Linked DNA regions of Xenopus tropicalis. The protein of the gene in region 2 interacts with the protein of the main gene of each other region in a biochemical or structural test. Links are inferred from orthologs where the notes say so. Each region holds a gene or a part of one and is shown on either strand. Other genes may lie near its edges.

Region 1 (12,180 bases), on a different chromosome or scaffold from region 2:
ATTGGTTCCTATCCTACAGTGCATCCCGCCGGCTCCCCTGAACAGATGGGCAGGACTAGTGGGGTTTTGGTGGAATTTCTCAATAAATAAGTCTGAAACTTTTTTAAGCACAATCCTTCTATATCTAGACGAGTATAATTTTTATATCATATGTCTCCTTTAAAGAGGCTTTTAAGAAATTTGACTTTATTGCCATTAAACTGACTGGATTTAATTTTTTTGTCCATTATGGTAATATTTGTATAGTATGGTGAAGGTTTCTGTTTTCTTTATATTTACTGATATGCCCATAAAGCTCCATGTAAACTTGATTACATGTAAGTAAACCATGGTTGAGCATCAACTCATTTAATTTTATTTCAAACCCTTCAGCATTCCCCCATAAACTGTTGCACTTTTAAATTAAAATGTATTGCGTTGGTTGCACCGATGTCTCTGTGATCATTTCTAAGCAGGCGGAGGTTGAGGTGGTCACTAATTGCATCGGAAGTTACTTGGGGGCCTCTGGCTCCTCTGTCAATCATGAAAAGTCGGAAGCTTTTTGTGTTCTAGAATGGGAACCAGCTTTTCAGGTTGGTAATTTCCCAGTAGCCCCAGAGCAGGTAAAAATCTTGGAAGTTAAATTTGGAAGAAATGATAATGGTCTCTTAAATTTGGAGGAGAAACTGGATGCTGGTTTGGCAAAAGTTCAGCGTTGGAAATCTTGGAAGCTGACAAATAGAGAAATGGTTAATCTGATCAAGACCTTTCTGATCCTGTTGTTTCTTTTTGTTGCCTATGTGTTTTCCTTGCCAGAATCTCTCTATACTTGGATCTACAGTCTGTTCTTTCAGATGCTCTGGGGGAGCAGACTGAACCCAGTAAAAAGAGGGGTCACGTTCCTGCAGAGGGAGGGTTGGGATGGTCTGTCCAATTGCATTCTTTGGCACCATTTTCATGAAATTTAATTTTGGGAATCTGAGCCAAAGGAAGTGTTTTCTGTGGGAGAACTGTGTCAGGTCCTGAGTTTCACTTCTTATCAGACTGGACGAAGGCCGGTAGAGTGAAGGGGGTCCGGATTGAGGGGGGGGTTATTTTCTGCAGCATATAGCTTTGGGTCTGAAGCTCATAAAGAAATGGCACCTTAGTTTGGGAGATTTAGAGAACCTCACAAGGAGGCAGCTGTATGAGATGGTGCTAAGGATTTTTTCACTTCACCTTTAGCTCTGCGGGACTGTACTAGTGAGGAAATAACCTGCTGTCTGAAGTTTCTGAATGGCCATAGGCCCCCTGGGAAATATGCAGATAATGCTTGGTTAGCCTTCCAAGGGAAACTCTTTGTCCGGGGGAACCTTAGTTACCTAAGTGTGGTAAATAGGTTCTGCCCATGGGATTGTGGGAAGGAAGAGACCACTGACCACTTTCTTTTAGACTGCCCAGTATCAGAAGCCCTTTATAGTCAGGTTTTGACTGTCCTGGGAATAGAAAGATTCTGCAGTGACACCTATGGGGAAAGGGCTTATGGGCTGCTCAGGAGGAATCACCCGCTGGAAAGAGAAACGGTTTTTACTATTTTTACGGTAATAAGGTTTTTTCTGTGGTTGATGCGATGTGATAAATCATTTGGAAGGGAGGAGGGAACCTTTGAACAAACTGTTGGGAAAATCTTCAGAGAATTATTTTTCAGAAAAGTTAAAGAAGTTTCTTTAAATAAAGACAATGTATAATTCACTGGTACATTCATAATTTTTATAGGATATTTATTTCTACTTTAAGGGGCCACATTCAAAATTATGTTCTAGAGCAGGAATCCCCAGCCTTCTTTACTCGTGAGCCACAATCAGATTAAAAAGTGTTGGCGAGCCACATAAGCATGGAAAAAGTTCTTTGGCAATGCCAAATGAGGACTGTGATTGCCTATTTGGGCAGGAGGCTCTGCTTGGAGTAAACTGTGTCTCTCTGCTTCCAAAACTTATCTCCAAGCCAGAAATTTAAAAATGGGCACCTACTGTACATTGAGGCAACTGGGAGCAACATCAAAGGGGGTCGTAAGCAACATGTTGCTCCTGAGCCCCTGGTAGGGGATCACTATTCTAGAGAATGCCATTATAAGCTGTAATGAAATCAGCATGGCTTTATGAAAGATAGGTCATTGTAGTACTGCATTTTGGATATTCAGTAATGAACCCACATGTACACAAAGGGTTAACAGATATCTTTCCTTTCCTTCACATGACATCTGCTGAGGTGTAATTCTGGACAATAGAGATCCTGCCATAAAACTACACAACAACCCTTACAGCAATAGTACAGTTCATATCAAAGAGATGCAAATGACTTTACACACTGGTGTGGTGGGTGCAGGGCCAGAGTTCCTAAGGAAAGGAGACCCCACTGAATCAACAGGAATGCCTGCAGCATTGGGCTCAATGGGATTTGCTCTACAGTGCAACCTATCTTAAGCTACCTCTCTTAGCTGACTGAGATGAATCATTGTAAAAACAACTCACATCAACCTGATTGGCTGGGACTATCATTTGGGTGTGTCTTGGGAAAAGGGTAGTATGGGTTATGCTTGGTTGAATGGTCTTCATCATGTATATAAACAGCATTTGTAAATACTTTGTTAGTTAGTCACTTTCCTCTCCCCTCCATTGCACCTTTCCTCTCCCTTCTTCCTTCCTCCATTTTAGTTATTTTCCCTCCTTATTTTATACCTTTTATTTCTTTTGTAAATAAATATATCACTTATTTAATAAACCGGGCTGTCTCAGTTCAATAGTTAAATACCCCAGAATAGAGCAGGTCCAACAGTCATGTTAGATAAATTTGATTTGTTCATTAATGACTTAAGGGAGGGCATGATAAAGAATGTATCAGTGTTTGCAAATGGCACAAGCCAATTCAGCCCAATTAATTTCATCCAGGATGTGGCATCCTGTAATGTAAGATATATGTAAGGTTGTACACCTGGGATGTAAAAATAGGCAAGCTACTTATACCATTAAGGGCTCTGGCACACAAGGGAGTTTAGTCGCCCACGACAAATCCCTCCCCGATATGACATAGAGAAGGACCTTGGAGTCTTTGTAGATAATAAATTTAGCTGTGGCAAGCAATGCCAGGCAGCAGCTGCAAGGAAAACAAGGTGTTAAATTGTATTAAATGGGCATAGATTTGCTAGAGGCAGGGCTCATTCTCCCACTTTACAAAGCGCTGGTAAGGCCCCATCTAGAATATGCCATGCAGTTTTGGTCTTCAGTGAATTATTTAACAGTAGGTCCTTCCAGCAGACACAAAAGCATCCATTTCAATTAAAAGAAGGGACATTATATCTAAATATTCAGAAAGGGTTTTTTCAGCGAGAGATGTGAAGTTGTGAAATTCTCCCTATGAATCAGTCCTTCTGGCAGATACATTAGATAGACATGGTCATTGAAAATAGTTTTAGATGATCCAGGAGGCAAATTAGAGAGGCTTTAGAAGGGTTTTTTTTTTTTTTTGCTTTCCTCTGGATCAACTAGCAATTAGGCAGGTTATATATAGACACAAAAGGTTGAACTTGAAAGAGAAAGAAAAGCAATTTTTAGCATTTTACTGCCAATAGATTTGCCACATTAGTACCACCTAGAACGCTATATTTATTCAGCAGAAAGCTTTACCATACCTGAGTAAAGAGCCCTAGAAGCTCCCTCCGATAGCAGCTGCCATTTTAGCTTGGTCTTGGTAGCTTCCTGCTGCAGTTATAGCCATTGGTAGCGCGAATCACACATTCCTAAGGGTGGGAGTTCTTATGGGAGGGGGAAGCAGAAGGGAGGGGGAGAGGGAGAGTAAAAGAACTGAGCAGACTCATGCCCCAAACCTGAAGGAGCCCTAAAAGAGAGGAAGTCTGATACTGAAGAACATTTTCACAAAAAACAAGCAATCACAAGAAATCCTGTGTTTCTTTTGAAGGACTCAGTGCAGTGTTTCTGTGAGTGCTTATGGCTTACTTAGTTTTTACTTTCCCTTCTCCTTTAATGGATGTGTCTTTTTTCAACCTAATTTACTATGGTTGAACCCTAATTTTATGTTTTCCCAGAATTGGCAGGTTTTTTTGTCCTCCCATACAGGCAAGGTACATTTTATTTTTTATGTTTTCCCAGAAATAGGGGTTCTACCATATAGTCCTATAAGTAACTGCTACATTACTGTCAATTTTTTTTAAATATAAATAAAAGTAAATAAAGAGCAAAAAAAAAACCCCAAAAAAACAAAAATTCTGATTAACAGCTTTTCCCCAGAGGACATTTTGCCAGGGGGGATTCAGAGCCCCAGGTGCAACAGCCTTTAATTGGTTGCATGCATATCCTTATGAGATAAACTCAGCTGATCCCTGAATATCTTAATTTGTACACCAGGGAGATAGAGAAAAACATTTTTTAAAGAAGCGAAGTTTTTGTTGAAAGCCTCAAAGTGCCAAAAGAGGCAAAGCTCACTACTTTTGAACTGTTCAGACGCTAGGAAACACAGATGCAGCAAGACTATTGAGCCTGTCAGTGCGGAGAGATCCTCCCTGAGGTGTGCTCGAGCTGTCAGCCAGCAGGTGGAGCAGCTGCTAAACATTTCCAGCTCCCATGGTCATGAGAAGTCTGTCTTTTTCTGTCGTGTAGCTTTTAGCATTATGGGAAGGGCCAGGGAGCAGCCAATCCGGACACACGCTGTTATAGCAACAGAACAGAATGTGGTGTAGTGAAGTAAGATAGGAGAGCAGGGGAGGGGGGAGAAATAATAAATAAAATAGAGTGGAGTTGCTCACATTGAAAGTAATCAATGGATGAAATAAAAAGAAAACAAACAAACAAATAAGCTGATTTGGAAGAAAGTTTCTCAGGACTGGTGTAAAGAACTGCAAGAAGCAGTGACAGGGGCTCTGCACAGATAAGCACTGCTGGGTCTTGCCTGCACTCTCACACCATCCCCATTGTTTGAGCATTTCCAAAATATGGCAAAGGTTCAGGTGAACAATGTGGTGGTGCTGGATAACCCTTCTCCTTTCTACAATCCTTTCCAGTTCGAAATCACCTTTGAGTGCATAGAGGACCTTTCTGAAGGTGAGTTACAATCAGTTCTTTCTTTTGGCAGTCTGCTAAAGAAGCATCCTAGTGCACAAGAGGTTAAACTGATTCCCACAGGCCTGATGCTTGGCTAAGAAGCAGAGCAGGCGCTGACAGGAATAAAATGCCGGCACATTAACGTAGACAAGCAGGGAAAAAACTTGCGGTTGCACTAGCTGGGAGTGTATGGGAATGCTGCTGCACACACTGGGAAAGTAAGTTTGAAAGGTGCCCTGGTGGCAGGAGCAGCAGCCATGTTTTGTTTGTGGATAGAGAGGGAGGGGGTCGGGTTAATGAGTGTGAAACAGACACAGACAATGCAGGACACGCAATGTGACCTCTGCACTGGGGCTCTTGCAGTGCAAAGACAGCAGATTTTAAATAGCGGTTACTTGTATAATGCTGACCTGCTGCCTGGAGTGAAAAGCAAAAGCTTGTTTTCTATTTTTTTTTTCCTGCAGTTTTTATTATATAAATACATGGGAAAATACAAAAATAAGGATGTTTATTGCATTGTTATGGGGAGAAAAGATGTTTATTCTTCCTTGCATTCATCTTTTTTTATGTCACAGGTGGAATTATAGCCCCTCCCTCATCTCACTGTGTAATGGGCACAAACTCAATAGTAACACAGGGGCATTTAGATGTACATATTCATGGAACTGGGCGCTTGTGTGCGTTAATAATCACTGTCCCAACATAGTAAATAAAAACACACACTGACAATCTGCCTATGAATCTCTTTAAAAATGGTTAACTTGATGGGCAGTTGTCCTTTTTTAACCCAAATTAATGGTAAAATTATGAATATAATAATTTTTCGAATAACAACAAGAAAATGTGTCACCTTAGAAAGATGTCCAGTTCTCCATGATCAAATCTGTCATCCATTTTTCCACTTTCAGAAGAACAATATATTGATACAGCTAGCTGCTGCAATTTTTAAAAATCTGACTAAATTCATTTTCATTAATGTCTGACATTTACTAAAAATGTGAACTGAAAAAGTCAAAAGTTGCCTCACAAGAAAAATTCAGACTCAGAAGACAGAAACAATACATATGCCATCCCACGGTGATAAAAAAAAAAAAAAAAAAACCCCACTATGTTTAGGATGTCATCTAATGAACTTTTTTTTTAGGCTGATGCCACACAGGGCCTGTCGTAAAACAGAGTCCCTATGCTGGCATCAGCCTTCTTCCTTGCCTCTCATTTCAGCAACCCATATCTGCTACAAGTGCCTGCACCTGAACTGACGCAATAGTTTTCCTCAGGCTGAGAATCAGCCCTGTGTGGCATCAGGCTAAGAGACTACTTTTATATTTATAGATAGCTGAAGAGCTAATTTCCCATTCCTTTTCAATTAACATTATACTTTCCACCAGATTTAGAATGGAAAATTATTTACGTGGGCTCTGCTGAAAGTGAAGAATATGACCAGGTTTTAGACTCTGTATTGGTGGGACCTGTACCTGCAGGCCGACATATGTTTGTATTTCAGGTAAGTTGATATTGATTTTATATAAAATATTCTTCTTAGTGAAGAACCATTAAGGGTGGTGGCACACAGGGTGATTAGTCCCCCATGGTTACATTTCAGCTATCGCAGGCAACTAATCTCCCTGAAAAGCCTTTCCTCTGGCAATAAAGTGAATCGCCGGTGGAATGGCATATACTTTACATTCATTTTTACAAAGTTTCCTCCTCCAGAAAACAATTCATACAAATTCTTACAAACTCTGCAATAGTTTGAAAAACAACTGCCAGGTGATGTAATGTTTATTTTGGCCATAAACACACTAATGATATTGTACGAAACCTCGTTTTGAACGATATTCGGTGCGTGTATGGCGGATCGACGAGACAACCGATATAGCAAAGGCTGTGGATATTGGCTGTCTCATCGATCACCCAGGTTAAAAGATTTTGATCGGGTGCCACTGAAGGCGCCCAAACAAAATCTGCGTTCAGGGCTGAATCGGCAGGTGGAGGTAGAATTCCTATTGTTTCTACCTCCACATTCAGCCCTGAACGTTGTGGGGGAAACAAACGATCCTGTGACCATCAGAATTGCTACGTGTATGGCCACAAACAGGGGGACTCACAGAGAGGGGTTCACTCTCAGAGCAGAGAAAGCTGTAACCAAGTGCCAGGAGTCACTGAGAAAGGTCTTTCAGAGTAGGACACAGAGCAAGAATGCTGCCTGCCTGTGTTAGGAACTCCCAGGGGGCTGGGGGTGCTGCCTGCCACTGCAAGGAGCCATGTGTATGAGTGCCAGAACGACAAGGCTTAGTGAGAAGCCAAAGTGTGAGATGGCCGGGATGGTGAGAAGCCCCAGGAAAAGGTTCCAGAGTATGAGAGTTACCCTGGAAGGTGAGAATTCCAAATAGGGTACTAATCATGAACATATATGATGAACAGTTTGCTGATGTTTATGTTGGGTAGAGTTTGCCCCAAAATAAACTTGTGTTTTTTGCCTGAAGAACTGATGTCTCTGTCTCTATGCTCCTGCCTACCATGACTAATTTCCCCCAAGAATTACGTGTACAGACAGACAGTGTGTCAATATATAACATGTCAAGGACTGCTCCCCACTGAAGTTTGACAGCCACATAGCTAGTACACTTTAAGGGCTTTGGCACACAGGGAGATTAGTCGCCCGCGACAAGGGAGATTTGTTGCGGGCGACTAATCTCCCGATGTACCAAAGCCCTTAAAAGTGTACTTGCTATGTGGCTGTCAAACTTCAAACTTTTTCCTGTCAAATCTCCAGGAAATGCCATCCCACCGGTGAGAATGTAAATTGCCGGTGGGATGGCATATGCAGTGCTGCGATTTCCATTCTCGCCGGTGGGATGGCATTTCGGGGAGATTTGTCGTGGGCGACTAATCTCCCCATGTGCCACAGCCCTTAGTCCCAAGTGTCTAGAAAGAAATGGCATCTTGCAGATTAGTAATGGATAGATATGCACTCTGTAATAAAATTGCAGTGAAATATCTGCTACTTGTGGTACAGGAATTAGTCTGCACAGTGGATGTACTATGTAGTGGCAGCTGTACTACACATTCTGACCAACTAGGCAGAGATGTACAGATTCTTCAGTAACTGGGAAAAAACTAAATATCAAGCCCCACTAATTAATCATATCTGCTTCCTAGAGAATCAATTTTTCTGAAGCTTAAAGGAGAAGGAAAGGCTAAGTCACTTGGGGGATGCCAAAATGTTAGGCACCCCCAAGTGACTTTAATCGCTTACCTTGTACCCCGGGGCTGGTGCCCCTGTTAGAAGAAAACCGCACCAGCCCTGGGTAGCTGTAGCGGAGCGCTTCCTTCTTCCGTGTTTGCTCTGCCGGCAAAATACCTGAGTGAAAAGGTGACTTCTTGTTAAAGTTCAGCTTTTCACCCTACTGCGCATGCACGAGCGCGAACAAGGAAGAGGAAGCGCTTGCTGCAGGCACCCGGGTTGGTGCTGTTCTCTCCAAACAGGGGCACCAGCTCGGGGTACAAGGTAAGCGATTAAAGTCACTTGGGGGTGCCTAACATTTTGGCACCCTCAAGTGACTTTGCCTTTCCTTCTCCTTTAAGGAAGAATCAGTGTGGAGCCGAACAGTAGATTCTGACAGAGAACATTTGTAACTGCTTTGTCTCCATCTTTGTTTAGGCTGATGCCCCCAACTCAGGCCTTATACCAGACGCAGATGCCATTGGTGTAACAGTGGTGCTTATCACATGCACATACAGAGATCAAGAGTTTATCAGAGTGGGCTATTATGTTAATAATGAATATACAGAAACAGAACTGCGTGAAAACCCTCCTGTGAAACCAGACTTTTCCAAGGTAAAGAATTTACAAACTCTGCAATAAATAGTTTGAAAAACAACTGCCAGGTGATGTAATGTTTATTTTGCATTGTTGGGACTTCACATTGCGGATCATGATCAAATGGCACAGATGCAGAAGTGTCACCTAACTGCAGTAATATGGTGCACAACACAAACCCACTACAGTGGCTTCTAATGCCTTCCCATCAGAAATAAAGTGAATCACCGGTGGAAAGGCTTCCGCACCTCTAACATTTCCAAAGTCGCATGTTGTTTCCTACTGCAAACAGAGTCGAGGTCGGCCTGAAAAAGCAAAAGCAGGCATCTTCAAGCCAACCTCTACTGCGTGTGCCTGCATGGTACATACAATTTTACTTTTATGTCCAGGTCAATGGAGCTGGTTAAGGGAGCCGTTCCGCTTCTCTCAGCCTGAAAAAAAAAAAATGCAGGCTGAGGGCAGTGGAACCAACAGTCCATGTACCCTCAACCTAAAAGGCTTTCAATTATCATTTAAATCATTTACATTTTCTCTCTGCTGCAGCTTCAGAGGAACATCTTGGCATCAAATCCTAGAGTAACCAGGTTCCACATAAACTGGGAAGAAAATACAGAGAAGCTTGATGAACTTGAAGATAGTAATCCTCATCTGCATCCAATACTGTCAATAGAAGCCAGACCTTCAGCTTCAAAAGGATGGCCTATGTCAGAGAACTCTTTAAATGTCATGCTAGAATCGCACATGGACTGCATGTGACTTTACTTTTACATCTTTCTACTTTCAAGCCAATGGGAAAATTGCACTTTGCAACACTATTTTCCAATAAATAGGACACCAGGAAACATGTCCTTGGCAGAAACCTTTATCAAAGGGTGGAAACAAAATGTGAACTAGGGGGAAAAGTTTTTAAAAAATCTATTTTTAATTATTTTTGTTTCTGCTTAAGGCAGGTATCTATCAGCTATTTTCCAAACTAGTTAGAACATGCAACTGCAGCACATTTTGCTATTTATTTGGAGATGTATTGTTTTCTGATATTTTGCTGAAATAAATCTATGCTTGATACCACAGACCTGACATATGCACACTGTGGGCCATCCACAGTACATCCTATTTGATTACATAAAATCTATTTCAGATGGATTCTATTCTTACAACAAATAATGCCTTTATAGTTTACTTTCTTGTTAAAAGGTAATTATTTACCAGTTTTGGTTTTATAAACAATACATGTTTTGCATGGTTTTTCTTTTCAAGCGAAAACCAGAGGGTGTTATATCTTTAAAATTTTACAATTGCTAATGCCAAGCAAGCAGTTGGCTATTTAGCCATTCGATATAAAATAGTTTCTTCTACAGTCGGGAAAAAAATATGCAGTCCCTTTGTAAACAACTCTAATCCAGTATTAAAGGACAATGAAAGGTTAATATAAATTAAAAGTAAATCTAAACGCATTCTTTTTAAGTACTTACTGCATATCTAAATTCCCAGATCCCTGCTTGCCTCTCTGAGATATGGTGCTGGCAGCCTACAGCAGTTAGAAGACTACAGTGACATCACTGAAATCTCTTTCCCCTTCCTGTAGGTGCCAGCGGCAGCCTTCCTATTCTCTGAGCATGTGTGTAACTTGATCCTGTCTCCTGGTCTGAGATACACATGCCCACCAGCCAATCAGAAGCGGATCTGGCAGAGGGGAGGGGGGGGAGGGAATGAAACATGTGCAGTATGAAGCAAGGAGGGAAAGGAAGGGAGAATACCTTTTAGAGATGGCTGCCTCTTCTAGAAAATGTGAAGTAAGTGTGACTGAGTAAATATTTGATTAGGTGCGTCAAAAGTGTGGCGTTTTTACTAAACAATAGGAGGACTATTGGGCAGTATGCTTTTTAAGTTTTGACTTTCATTCTCCTTTAAGTACAACTGATATTAACCTTATTTAATAGCCCTACTTACAGTGTCTTGCACAAAATTGTCAACGTCGAAGTGCAAAAAAATTTTTTGTAAAAAGTTGACGTAGTTTTCAAAACGTACAAATAAAAAATTAAAAAAAGTCTTGAAGTATTCATCCCCTCTACAAATAAGTTTTGGTGCAACCAACATGCCTTCAGAAGTCGCATAATTAGTTGAATGGAGTCCACCTATAAATTATCACATAAGCTTCTGATAAATTCTGTACACCCCTTTATAGAAGGCTCCAGAGGTTCTAATCATATCTGAATTTACAGCATGATGAAGACCAAGGAGCTCTTCAAAACAAGTCCAGTGTAAAGTTCTGAAGAAGCACCAATCAGCTAGAAATCTTGAACAAAGGAAAAATGTCTGAACCAAGACTGACTAGAGAAGAATGTCCACCAAATCTCAGCAACCAGGGCATAGGGAAGCGAGAGACCAATGGTAACTGAAGGAAGTATAAAGTCCCACAGCTGAGAGGAGAACAAGTCAATGTAATTATGACCCAGATGCTCCACAATGCTAGGTTTTATGATAGAATAGTTGGAAGAGAGCTATGGCTGAAAAAAAAAAAAAAAAAAAAGCCCATTTGGAAGCAAAAAAAATAGTTCCCTTGTCTGGCTATGTGTGGTAAACCTATAGTACTGAGGGCAAGACATATCGTGCCGCAAATCTGTTAATTCTAATGTACTGGAGTAGTTTATAACAAGAGTTAGAAATGCCTGTTCAAAGCCCAGACTTCTGACTGAGAATCTGTGCCAATTTGAAAATTGCTGTTCACTAAATGGTCTCAAGTTCAACCTGGCACAGATCGAGCAGTTTCAACAAGAATTCACAAATATGGCAAGATCCAGAATTGCAAAGTTAGTATGTACTTACCCTAAAAGACTCACAGCTATACAATGTAATTGCAGCCAGAGGTGGTTCTACCAAGTATTAAATTGTTGGTGAACACAAATGTTTACCTTTTTACCTTCTATGCCACAATAAACATTTTTTTTTTTTTTGCTACTCTATCACCAATGCTTTGTTCAAGATTGAAATTAAAATGTATTTAATTGGACTTTTTACTATTAATTCAAAAAAGGTTTTAAAAGAAATAAAATCTTTAAAAACTTTTTTTTTTAAATCATTGCATTATAGGGCATATTTTCCCTCTGTTTCATGTTGTTGTGCTAAAAACTGTATTAAAATTATAAATATAGAATATTATAAAAATTAGATTTTTTTGTGTAAAAACTTTATAATTCAGTCTAGCTTTTTATATTCAGATGTTTTAAAAGAAAATAGACGTTCTTGTTTTTAGTGGAAATTAGTTTATTTGTGGTTTCAAAAACC
Region 2 (12,080 bases):
TTTGTAACACTGTTTGCTTTTCATATTTGTAAACTGACAGTTTGAGATAAAGGGGATAGGAATTGGGATATGGGAGATGTAATGATATTACAAGGAGAGCCTCTTATACTGGGAGCAGGTGGATTATAAGCATTGTGGAACTCCAGAGAGGGGAACAAATAATGGACAGAAGTCAGTCTATAAACACAAGGATTTAGGAGGAATTTTAATAATAAACTGCTTTTTCTATGTACTGTGTTGGTAAACATGCAACAGATGTAGCTGATTTTGCCTAATTTTTTGTCCAAATTGACATCTTTCTGCCAGTACAACTGCTTCAGAAAGAGAATACGGCAACTTCACAGCTCTTAATGTTACAAACCCTTTTCACACTAGGGACAGGGAAACCCAAATTTAGGGGGTTTCAATCAATTCAATCAGTTAGTGATTGAATTCTGTATTTTTTTGCAGTTGTCTCGGACTTGCACCTTAGCAAACGAGTAAAAGCCAAAAGTTTAACTGTCCTTAGGGATGACTGGAAAAAGTATGTATGGTCCAAGCGCTAGAAAGTTCCCTAGGCCAGTTTTAACACCCCCAGTGTAATTGGGTGTTTGTGTTCTTTTTCAATCTCAGAAGATTCCATCACCTCTGCTGGAAGGATCTACTGGTGAATACATCATCAGAGAGTTTATTGTATGGTCCTCTTACACATGGTTATCATAGTGCCCCCTATGCATCTCCTTTAGTGTAAATATTGCCTACTTGGGCAATCTTCATAGCTGAGACTTTGCATGCCATTCATCAGCACCAAAACGGCCCTGCATATTCCAGATAGGGCTTGACTAGTGCTTTATAAAGAGAAAGAAACTCTCAACCCACTGATCTATATCCCTTTTAATACAGAAAAGTTGTATAAATTGTCCTTGGTAAAATTGAACTAAGCTCTAAGTGCCCATGGGTATATTCCAGCTGGGCCCAGGGATCTTGGTAAAAAACTTTACTATATTTATATTAATTAAGCTGCTGTGTAGCCTTGGGGGTAGCCATTTAAATTGAAATAGGGATAAATGGCAAAGGTTATATAGCTGATAACAGATAAGCTCTGTAAAGTACCATTGTATTCTACAGTGCTTATGAGATATCTGCTATGTAACCTGTGCCTTTTCTCCTTCTTTTCAGCTTGAATGGCTGCCCCCATGGCTACACAGCAGCATATTTATATAAACTATAGTTGGGTTTCTGAAGCAAATACAGACTTTTAACCAGTGCAGGGTAACAGTACATTATATTTTAATAATTTTTTTGGTTTTACTGTTCTTTTAAGCATTTGCTTTTTTTAGACTCCACTCTAACCAGTATATTTTAATTTTTTTCTGAATGAGCCACATGCTGAACCTGCATTTTTTTCACTGATCATTTAGTGCAATATGGGATGTCTAATGTGGAGACCCAAAGTAGTATATTCACTTATATTTTGGGGGGGGAGTAGCATTTGCAGGTAAAGCAATCCTCATTTTTTCCTTCTTGATTACTGCTTTACAGCACTTGTTTTAGTATTTATATGCTGTAAAGCATTGTCTGTTACCTCTGACTTTTTTCTAAATGCTTCATTCATGTATACTTCCTTATATCTGAGCTATATTGCATAGAGTGATCCTTAATGCTGTTATATTTCTTTCCAATGGGAATACATTGTGAGCACTAGTGGTTTCATAACATTTTAAGCAACAGGAATCATTTGCATTTAATTAGTAATGTAGGGTGCTAAAGCTCCTGAAATTTGCTAAGTCTTTGTTAAGCCAGCAAACATAAAATGTTGTTATATTATGGAAACTGTACCCAGTTATTCTAGTACTGTACTTGGACATTTGAAATTCATTCTTGTCTGTTGGGTCTAGTTGTACAGTTAACTTGCCTGTTGCCTAAGAATCTGTAAAACATTCATCCCCTAAGACTTCTGTCGTTTTCTTTCACAATTTCTTCCTTTTTACTGGGTTTCAAAACATATACACATACAAGGTATAGTCTGTGCTTACTAGCCAGTTGTGTTGAGTTATTCAGTCATGTTTCAGCAAAGCCATCGACCTCATTTCTTGCCCAGTTCCATTAACTCAAGCTCATTTTACTGGTTCAGCTTTATTCTTTGAAAACATATATTTACTTTTTATTGGAATTCATTTTATGTGAAGGGAACAACCCAAGAGCAGGAAATACAGACAAACCAAGCTTTGTCCCTGGGAGCATGCTGGAGTCATTTAGCCAGGGGGAGAATCTTTGTGGACCTAAAGTATTTTATTCCCGGTGGATTTAACCAAACTTAGTATCTAGGCTCCTCAACCTCTGGCTTTGTCCTCTCCACGCACAGAAGGCAGTATTATGTTCTACTAACGTCCTACTGCAAGCAAACATGCTCTCTGGCTTTAAAGTGCTCACATTTATTTTTTTGTCTAAAATATTTAATTTGTGTGAGTGTTGTTCAGTTCTTTGACCATTTACAGTCTTCAGTTTGTTGTGTACAGCAATCCCCCATCTTGTCCTTGCCTAAAACAACACAATGTGTTCATTTGCAGGAAGAAGCCGAAATTCAGGCAGAGTTGGAAAGGTTAGAGAGGGTTAGAAATCTTCATATACGGGAGCTTAAAAGAATAAACAATGAAGATAATTCACAGTAAGTACTCTTGGTGTAACTTACACAAATAATATGTCTATATGTGTTGGAACGGAGGGTATGGAAGAAGACATAGCTGGTTACTTGCATGGGGCTGCTGAACAAGAAAAGTGATCTTTTATTGGCAAAGTAATGGCAGAAGTTGCTGTATCTAAACCATGAATGTTTATCATTTTCCTTTAGATTTAAAGACCACCCTACACTGAACGAACGGTATTTATTACTACATCTATTAGGTCGAGGCGGCTTTAGTGAAGTGTACAAGGTAAGATTGTTTTTTTTTTTTTTTTTTGTAAAGACTACTGAATAGTCAAAGCCTTTAATCCATATAAAGAATATATGTGAATGCTTGGGGACCTTGAATTTTCTGGATAAGGGATCTGTAATTTTTATCTTATCTTAAAGGAGAAGGAAAGTAATTTTGGGATTTTACTGCCAATAGATTTGCCACATTAGTGCCACTTAGAACAACATATTTATTCTGCAGAAAGCATTGCCATACCTGAGTAAAGAGCCCTAGAAGCTTTCTTCATTTGCTTAAGACAGCAGCTGCCATTTTAAATAGCTTCCTGTTTGCAGTCTAGCCGTTATAGCTCAGATCACTCATTGCTAAGGGAGGGGGGGAGGGAGTTCTTAGAATTCTTATGGGAGGGGGGAGCAGAAGAGAGGAGAGAACTGCGCAGACTCTGGACACAGGAATTAAGGATTTTTCTGAGAGAGGAAGTCAGACACCCGTACATCATGTTTAGAAAAATAACATAGTGCTTATGGCTGTATTTACATAGACCTTAGTTTTAACTTAAAATAATTTTCTTTACCTTGTACTTGATCCCAACTAAGATATACAATTATATGTTTAAATTATTTTTAAGTTATTTGATTAAAATGGAGCATATGGTAAATGGCTTTCCAGAGTTTTTTGCACAACAGGTTTCCAGATATATATATTTATGTAGCCATATTGCATGTGGATTTGTTGTTCAGTACCTATCACAGGGGGATTGGCCAGGTTGTGCAGGGATGCTGAGACCAGGAGACAAGGGGCATAGGATGCTGTAAGAATCTCCACATACACTTGTCAAGGAAGTCACATAATGGTTTGATATCTCTTTCAGGCTTTTGATCTTTATGAACAAAGATATGCTGCTGTAAAAATCCACCAGCTTAACAAGAGCTGGAGGGACGAGAAGAAAGAAAACTACCACAAGTAAATATTTTGTGTCCTTTTGATAGTGAGCCCTTCGCTTGCCATAGTGACTGTACTGATGGTGCTGTTTATTGTAGGCATGCCTGCAGAGAGTACAGAATACACAAAGAACTGGATCACCCCCGAATAGTTAAACTTTACGATTATTTTTCCTTGGATACAGACACGTAAGTATCGCTCACTCTCTTAGTTGCTTATCAAAGTCCTGTATGTAGCCTGTCTGTATATTCTACCAACCTATGTTCAGATATGAAGATAAGTTAGGACAACTGTCATGGGAAAACATGTTTTTTTCAAAACATATCAGTTAATAAAGCTTTTCTAGCAGAATCCTGCATTGAAATCTGCAAGCATAATATAATATTTAATTTTGAAATTTCACATGGGGCTAGCCATATTCTTCATTTCCCAGGTGCCACAGCCATGTGAACAATGGGAAGGGAGCAAGATAGCAGCTCCCAGTAGGTATCAGAATAGCACTCAATAGTAAGAAATCCAAGTCCGGCTTGGGACTCCTCCAGTTACATGGGAGTAGGAGAAACAGTAGGTTACCTGAAAGCAGTTCTAATGTGTAGCGCTGGCTCCTTCTGAAAGCTCAGACTCAGGCACAATGCACTGAGATGGCGCCTACGCACCAATATTACAGCTAAAAAAAATGCATTTCTTGTTTAAGAGAATTTTTTTTTAATTATTTGCTGTGTAAACAGTGTAATTTAGAAATAAAAAGTATACCATAAACATCATGACAGAATCCCTTTAAACCCCTAGTTTCCAAACTGTAGAACTGCCCCCCTTAGAGGGGGCTCAAGGCAGTGCATAAGGGGCACAGACCTGTTAGGGTGTGACACTTGTGTTTTTTTTTTAATCTTGTGCAGGTTTTGTACAGTGCTAGAATACTGTGAAGGCAATGACCTCGACTTCTACCTAAAGCAGCACAAGTTGATGTCGGAAAAGGAAGCCAGGTCTATTGTAATGCAAATAGTCAATGCACTACGTTATCTCAATGAGATCAAGCCTCCCATTATCCACTACGACCTAAAGCCAGGTAGGTAGAACACTCAATTTTGCCTGAAACTCATAAACTGCAATTTAGTCTTTGTTTTTTTCTGTGCTTTTACACAGCCTTTAACCACACACAGATGCACTGCTATCCTAGGTTGCTACACATGTCTCTATGTGCGGTTAAAGGCTGTATTTAAGAATGGTTGAATACTGAATTAGAGATTAAAGCTGGCCATACACGCAACGATTATATTGTACGAAACCACGTTTTGTACGATATTCGGTGCGTGTATGGCGACTGCGAAGCGACCGATATCGCAAAAGGCTGCGGATATCAGTCAACTCGCCGATTGGGCGGGTTAAAAGATTTTGATCTTGCGCCATTGAAGGCACCTGAGCAAAATCTACCTTCAGGGCTAAAGAATCCTATTGTTTCTACCTCTATATCTGACGATTCAGCCCTGAATGTCTGGAGGGTGGGAACAATCTTTTGTGCAACCACAGCCACCTTTAGAGACCTTTTATAGACAACAGCCATGACTACAGCTTCAGTGGTTAGAAACTTATGTAATGTCTGCTGTAATTAGGAAATATCCTTCTTGTGGACGGGACAGCTTGTGGAGAAATAAAAATCACCGACTTCGGTTTGTCCAAGATAATGGATGACGACAGCTATGGTGTGGATGGAATGGACTTGACTTCTCAAGGAGCAGGGACATACTGGTGAGCATCACATGATTTCCTGTCATGTTTCACAGACATTTTTCCTAATCTTGTTTGACTGCTGTCAGGTTCATATTAAAAGGAAACCTATACCCACCCTTATACCACAATTTGCTCTTCTTAGCACTTCTGCATTTTTTTTTTTTTTTGTAATATATTTCATGATATCAGCAGGTCACTACTAATATCATGATTGTGTAACAGGAGCGCCCTCTGGTGTGTTCTGCGTGGGCCAAAAGAAACTTCAGCTTTTTGAAAAGAAAACATAATTTCAAGCAACTTTGCAATGTACAAATAATTAAATAATACGCAGCCTTTTCATGATTTAATAATATGGTTCGGAACAGTTACCTAAGCCTGGCCCTGTATAAATAACTTAAACTTTTGCCATCTGACAAGCTCTTGCATGAACAGCAGAGGGCAGTTTGGTTACACATTCATGATATTGGCAAAATGCTTAAATCTAGAGAGCACTCTGAGCAATTTTATATTGTTATATCTTTTCTCTTGGCCTGTAATATAAGATGATGCTACAGGGCTGATTATTAAATTCTTATGCAAATTGCACTGGTTTCTGAACTGCAATGTAGTAATTATCTGTACTGATTACTAACCAGCCTTATATTGTGACATTTATGTTCTGTATATACAGTATATTGTGAGTGGGTCCCTAAGCTCAGGAAAGTGACAGCAGCACAGAGTATGTGCAATTAATCAGCAGAAAAAAAGAGGGGGAGCTACTGGGGCATATTTAGAGGCACAGATCTTCCCTGATAAAAGGCTGTGGTTGCCTTGGGCTGGTACAGAAGCACAAAACATAATGTGCAGCCTTATTTTTTAGGTAGGCTTTAGTTCTCCTTTAAGAGATCCCTAACATAATGGCCCAGGCTTAAGGCAACAAAAAGCCCTTCATGGAAAAAGCACTTCATGGCCTAATGAACGTATTCCAGTTGATTGCTGCCATGTCATGAGACGGTTGCAGAAGGGTTGAAGTGTTGTACTAATAAAACAACTATGTATAGCTCATTAGATAAATTGGTTTATTTGGATTTAGGGTTAACTGGGATTTTTTTCCTAGTAACCATTGTGATGCAGACATAAGCATTTAGAATGAAAGCTCTACAGGTCAGAGCAGTGATCCCCAACCAGTGGCTCATGAGCAACATGTTGCTCACCAACCCCTTGGATGTTGCTTCCAGTGGCCTCAAAACAGGTGCTTATTTTTGAGGCAAGTTTTGTAAGCATAAGACCATGTATACTGCCAAAAAGAGCCTCCTTTAGGCTGCCAGTCCACATTGAGCTACCAAATAGCCAATCATAGCCCTTGTCTATGAAGATTCTCATTCATCCAGGTCATGATATACAGTATCTAGCAGAATTGAATCTAAAACAAGGCTCTAACCCAGGGGGTCCCCAACCTTTTCTACCTGTGAGCAACATTTAAATATAAAAAAACTTGGGAGCAATACAAGCATGAAAATGTTCCTGGGGAGCCAAATAAGGGCTATGATTTACAGTATCTAGTAGAATTTAGTCTAAAACAACTGGACTTTTCTGAGTTTTTCTTGAAAAAGCTTCTCCACTCACCCGAGTGGCTTCTTCAGTTCAAATGACTGGTAGGAAATTCCCCGGCATTTAAACCCTTGAGGGTAGTACAGTCACAGACATCCAGTCACAATAGTTCCATTAAACTTATTCAGTTAGGTGTTGGCTGAAACCCAGCAACACTCTGAGACAAAACATGATGCACCATAAAGACCCTACACCAAAGCACATAAAGCGTAATGTGGTCTATGCTGTCCAGTGTAGTGAAGAGTGCTCAGACTTATACATTGGGGAGACAAAACAACCACTCTGTAAGAGAATGGCCCAACATAGGACGGCTAACGCCTCAGGACAAGACTCAGCAGTCTATTTACACCTCAAACAACAAGGTCACTATTTTGAGGACAGTAACGTGCATATTTTGGACCGAGAGGACAGATGGTTTGAAAGAGGTGTGAAAGAGGCCATTTATGCCAGCCTGTAAAAACCATCCCTGAACAGAGATGGGGGGGCCTGCGACACCGCTTGTCATCAACATACAATGCCGCTTTCACATCCTTACCCCGGCGGTTTCACAACAGTTCACACTTCCAGTCATGTACTTTGAAGGATTAACACCTGCATCACTGAATCATGGTACCATTGTGACTGGATCATACCTTCTTATACCTGTCCGTTTCAGCCAACACCTAACTGAACAAGTTTAATGGAACCACTGTGATTGGATGTCTGTGACTGTACTACCCTCAAGGGTTTAAATGCCAGGGAATTCCCTACCAGTCATTTGAACTGAAGAAGCCACTCAGATGAGCAGGGAAACGTTTTCAAGAAAAACTCAGAAAAGTCCAGTTGTTTTAGACTAAATTCTACTAGATACTGTAAATCATAGCCCTTAATTGGCTCCCCAGGAACATTTTCATGTTTGTATTGCTCCCAAGTTTTTTTTATATTTAAATGTTGCTCACAGGTAGAAAAGGTTGGGGGCCCCTGGGTTAGAGCCTGTCCAGTAATCTATTCTCTATTGACACTTTTTCCCTTACCCAAATGTCACATTTTGGCAAGAGAAATTGCTTAAAGAAAGCCACATGCATAGTCAAAGCAGATTATTGATGTTGCGCTGTGCACTTTGCAGGTATTTACCACCAGAGTGTTTTGTCGTGGGCAAGGAGCCCCCGAAAATCTCCAACAAAGTTGACGTGTGGTCTGTAGGAGTCATTTTTTTCCAGTGTCTCTATGGCAGAAAGGTAAGCTAATAAATATTTTGTTTAGAATGACACTAATATTGACACTTTATTCTCCATGGCTAATAATGAACCCCTTTTGCTTTTCAGCCATTTGGCCACAATCAGTCTCAACAGGATATCTTACAGGAAAATACAATATTAAAAGCCACAGAAGTACAGTTTCCAGTGAAGCCTGTTGTAAGCAATGAAGCCAAGGTAATATATAACAAATTATATATGAATATATGAATGCACAGGCGATTTCAGCAAATCGCCGAAGTTGCCTCGCGAGGAATTTTCGGCAATTTGCCGAAATCGCCCCACCGCGTGTGCCATCCCACCAGCGACTTACATTTTCGCCGGAGGGATGGCAATTCGGGAAGATTAGTCGCCCGCGAACAGAGAGATTTGTCGCGGGCGACTAATCTCCCCATCTGCCAGAGCCCTTAAAGGAACAGTAACACCACAAATGATATGGTTTTGTATGCATTTATATAGGATACACTGATAAAAATGTTAATGTCACTTTATCTTCTAGATGACTGAAGTTGAGTTGATTGAATTTATGGTAATTGCTATTCGTTAATCTGTTTCCTTCTTTCAGGCCTTTATTAGACGATGCTTAGCCTACCGCAAGGAGGACAGGTTTGATGTCCACCAACTGGCCAATGACGCGTATCTTCTCCCGCATATGAGAAGATCCAACTCTTCAGGAAACCTCCATATGTCTGGGCTAGTGGCCTCTCCAACCACTCCCACATCAAGCATCATTTCATACTGATACTCGCACCAAGGCTGCTGGCATGATTATTCGTTACATAGCTTTCCGGCGCAGCATTTTTATTTTATTTAATTTTTTTTGTTCAACAACAAAGGAGAACCAAGAAGGAGTTTAAAGATAATTGTGTGTTTTTGGGGAGATTTTTTTTTTTCTTTTTCTCTGTAGTGTTATTAGTATGGCAAGAGCGAATGAGACTGTGAATAAATTTCCCATTTGACAGTAATGTGATTTGGCACTGGCCTCCATTCATTGCCCTACAAAGCCATTTTCAGAGTAATGAGGGACAATGCTTAGGGCGTGTTCCTACGCAAGTTTGGGGCCACTGTCAAGAGATCCAAGTTTGTCCCACCAACCACGTGCATTCAATATGGACAAAATGAAATATAATGAGAAAAAAAAAAAAAAGCTTTTTTTTCCAGAGAGGACATTGTAAATAAACTTTGTAATACTGCAACACGATTGGTTGATACTGGAGAGTTTTAGCATGAAGGGCATTTTTCATTATTTAAAAAAAAAAAAAAAAAAAAAAGGAAAAAAAAAACAACACTTCTGATCATGGGCACCTGGCACCCGAGTGATTACAAACAACGCACTTGCCCGCAAACTCCAACACCCATTTATTTAAACCAAAGCTGAATATAAGAGGAATTCACACGTTATGTTTGGAGTTTATATTCCATAAGAATCGTTCACGTGTCACTGTGACTTTTTTTTAATTTGAAATCGGCGACCCCTCTCCCCCTTTTCCCACAAGTTCCTTTTATGGATCATTCCACTCAATACCTGTGATTCATTCGTTTTTCTTTTCTCTTTGTTCCATCGCCATAAAACACACAAGAGGTACCAAAACCTTCAATAAAACGTTCTATGCAGGATAATGATAAATTCCCTTCTGGCACTCATGTATATTGTTGTACAGATGTCCATTTCAGTTATCCGTGTCCTTTCAGCAGCCGTTTGCCCTTGTACAAATGTTTAAAGTATGGCTTTTTTTCTAATTTGAATATTGATTTTTTTTTTTTTTTTTTTTTAAGTCTCCTCGACTGCGCTTTTATTTTGCTGCTAATTAATGTTGCTTTGAGTTTGTTTTTTTTTTTTTGTTTTTTTTTTTGCAAACCAATAGAATTGCCCCTATTTTAAAGTGGCAATTGAAAAAAAAAAAACAACCAGATTAATTCATTAACAATCAAGCATGTGTACACATCTGTAAAACATATACACAGTACTGTAAGCCTGGTTTGCTAAATGCTCTGTTACTCGGGGCAGGTTACTGAGGTTTTTGTTCTCCCTCGTCTTGAGAGATCCTCTATGTCGGAGGCTGTAAGTATGCAATACATTAAGCAAAACCGATTCCTCTTGGCTTAACACGGTGTTAAAAGACAGACAGGTTCCTTTCTAATGGCCTAAACGCCTTTCTAGAACGCTGTATTTCTTTATTGCACAAATAAAAGGAGACAACCCCCCCTCGATGCCAGAGTAGGCAACGGTAGTGCATTGGTCTTGCAATATATTGCTCTTTTCTGTAGCATTCAAGGGGATGAGTCCTTAAACTCATGCTGTTAAAGAGAAATAAAAAGATTTGTCATTTTGTTCATGTTACAGAAGAGGAAGCTTGTATTAACACAGGTTTTACCATTTAATATTGTACAGTTCATTGTGGCTCTTGTTTCTGATGTTGCAAGCAGTTTTCATTTTTTTTCATTGTACATAAATATACATTAACTGTCTCTTTAAGATGCTGCTGAAAATTGTAGAGAATGTAGCCAAAACAGTAATAAACAATGAAAGTTGAAATTTCAAATAAGTACTTCATTTCCACCTAGCTTTTGGATAGTAGTCTGCGGGTACTTACTCTAAAGCAGTGATCCCCAACAGGTGGCGCGGGGGCAACATGTTGCTCACCAACCCCTTGGATGTTGCTCTCAGTGCCCCCAAACCAGGGAGTTATTTTTGAATTCCTGACTTGGGGGCAAGTTTTGGTTGAATAAAAACAAGATTTCATACCAAATAAAGCCTCCTGTAACCTGATAGTGTGCATAGGGGCTGCCTAATAGCCAATCACAGCCCTTATTTGGCTCCTCCATGAACTTTTATGATGCTTGTGTTGCTCTCCAAGTCTTTTACTTTTGACTGTGGCTCACATAGTTACATAGGGTTGAAAAAAGACCAGAGTCCATCAAGTTCAACCCTTCCAAGTAAACCCAGCACACACAACCCACACCTACCAATCTATACACTCACATACATAAACTATATATACAACCACTAATGCTAACTGTAGATATTAGTTTCACAATAGCCTTGGATATTCTGATTGTTCAAGAACTCATCCAGGCCCCTCTTATAGGCATTAACAGAATCTGCCATTACCACATCACTAGGAAGGGCATTCCCCAACCTCACTGCCCTCACCGTGAAAAACCACCTACGCTGCTTCAAATGGAAGCTCTGTTCATCTAATCTAAAGGGGTGACCTCTGGTGCGTTGATTGCTTTTATGGGAAAAAAAGAACATCCCCCAACTGCCTATAATCCCCTCTAATGTACTTGTACAGAGTAATCATGTCCCCTCTCAAGCGCCTCTTTCCAGAGAAAACAACCCCAACCTCGACAGTCTCACCTCATAGTTTAAATCTTCCACCCCTTAACCAGTTTAGTTGCAGTCTCTGCACTCTCTCCAGCTCATTAATATCCTTCTTAAGGACTGGAGCCCAAAACTGCACTGCATACTCAAGGTGAGGCCTTACCAGGGACCTATAAAGAGGCAAAATGATGTTCTCATCCCTTGAGTCAATGCCCTTTTTTTTATACAAGACAGCACTTTATTTGCTCTAGTAGCCACAGAATGCCACTGCCTGGAATTAGACAACTTGTTATCTACAAAAACCCCTAGATCCTTCTCCATTAAGGAAACCCCCAACAAACTACCATTCAGTCGATAGTTCGCGTTTAT

Evidence for each region.
Region 1: of the proteins of tlk1 (region 2) and asf1a, one has a biochemical effect on the other in vitro, tested with the Homo sapiens proteins (3 studies listed by BioGRID). The link is inferred for Xenopus tropicalis from reciprocal best matches to the Homo sapiens genes TLK1 and ASF1A.

The regions. Positions count from the first base shown.
Region 1 is NC_030681.2:73,623,275-73,635,454, forward strand, and holds asf1a (histone chaperone ASF1A), read left to right. Parts: upstream 1-4,635; 5' UTR 4,636-4,963; coding exon 4,964-5,072; intron 5,073-6,460; coding exon 6,461-6,576; intron 6,577-8,736; coding exon 8,737-8,913; intron 8,914-9,438; coding exon 9,439-9,651; 3' UTR 9,652-10,074; downstream 10,075-12,180. UniProt on the Homo sapiens protein: Histone chaperone that facilitates histone deposition and histone exchange and removal during nucleosome assembly and disassembly.
Region 2 is NC_030685.2:67,972,358-67,984,437, forward strand, and holds the end of tlk1 (serine/threonine-protein kinase tousled-like 1), read left to right. Parts: intron 1-2,549; coding exon 2,550-2,647; intron 2,648-2,830; coding exon 2,831-2,912; intron 2,913-3,762; coding exon 3,763-3,854; intron 3,855-3,931; coding exon 3,932-4,021; intron 4,022-4,729; coding exon 4,730-4,899; intron 4,900-5,443; coding exon 5,444-5,579; intron 5,580-8,256; coding exon 8,257-8,368; intron 8,369-8,455; coding exon 8,456-8,563; intron 8,564-8,951; coding exon 8,952-9,128; 3' UTR 9,129-10,929; downstream 10,930-12,080. UniProt on the Homo sapiens protein: Rapidly and transiently inhibited by phosphorylation following the generation of DNA double-stranded breaks during S-phase. This is cell cycle checkpoint and ATM-pathway dependent and appears to regulate processes involved in chromatin assembly.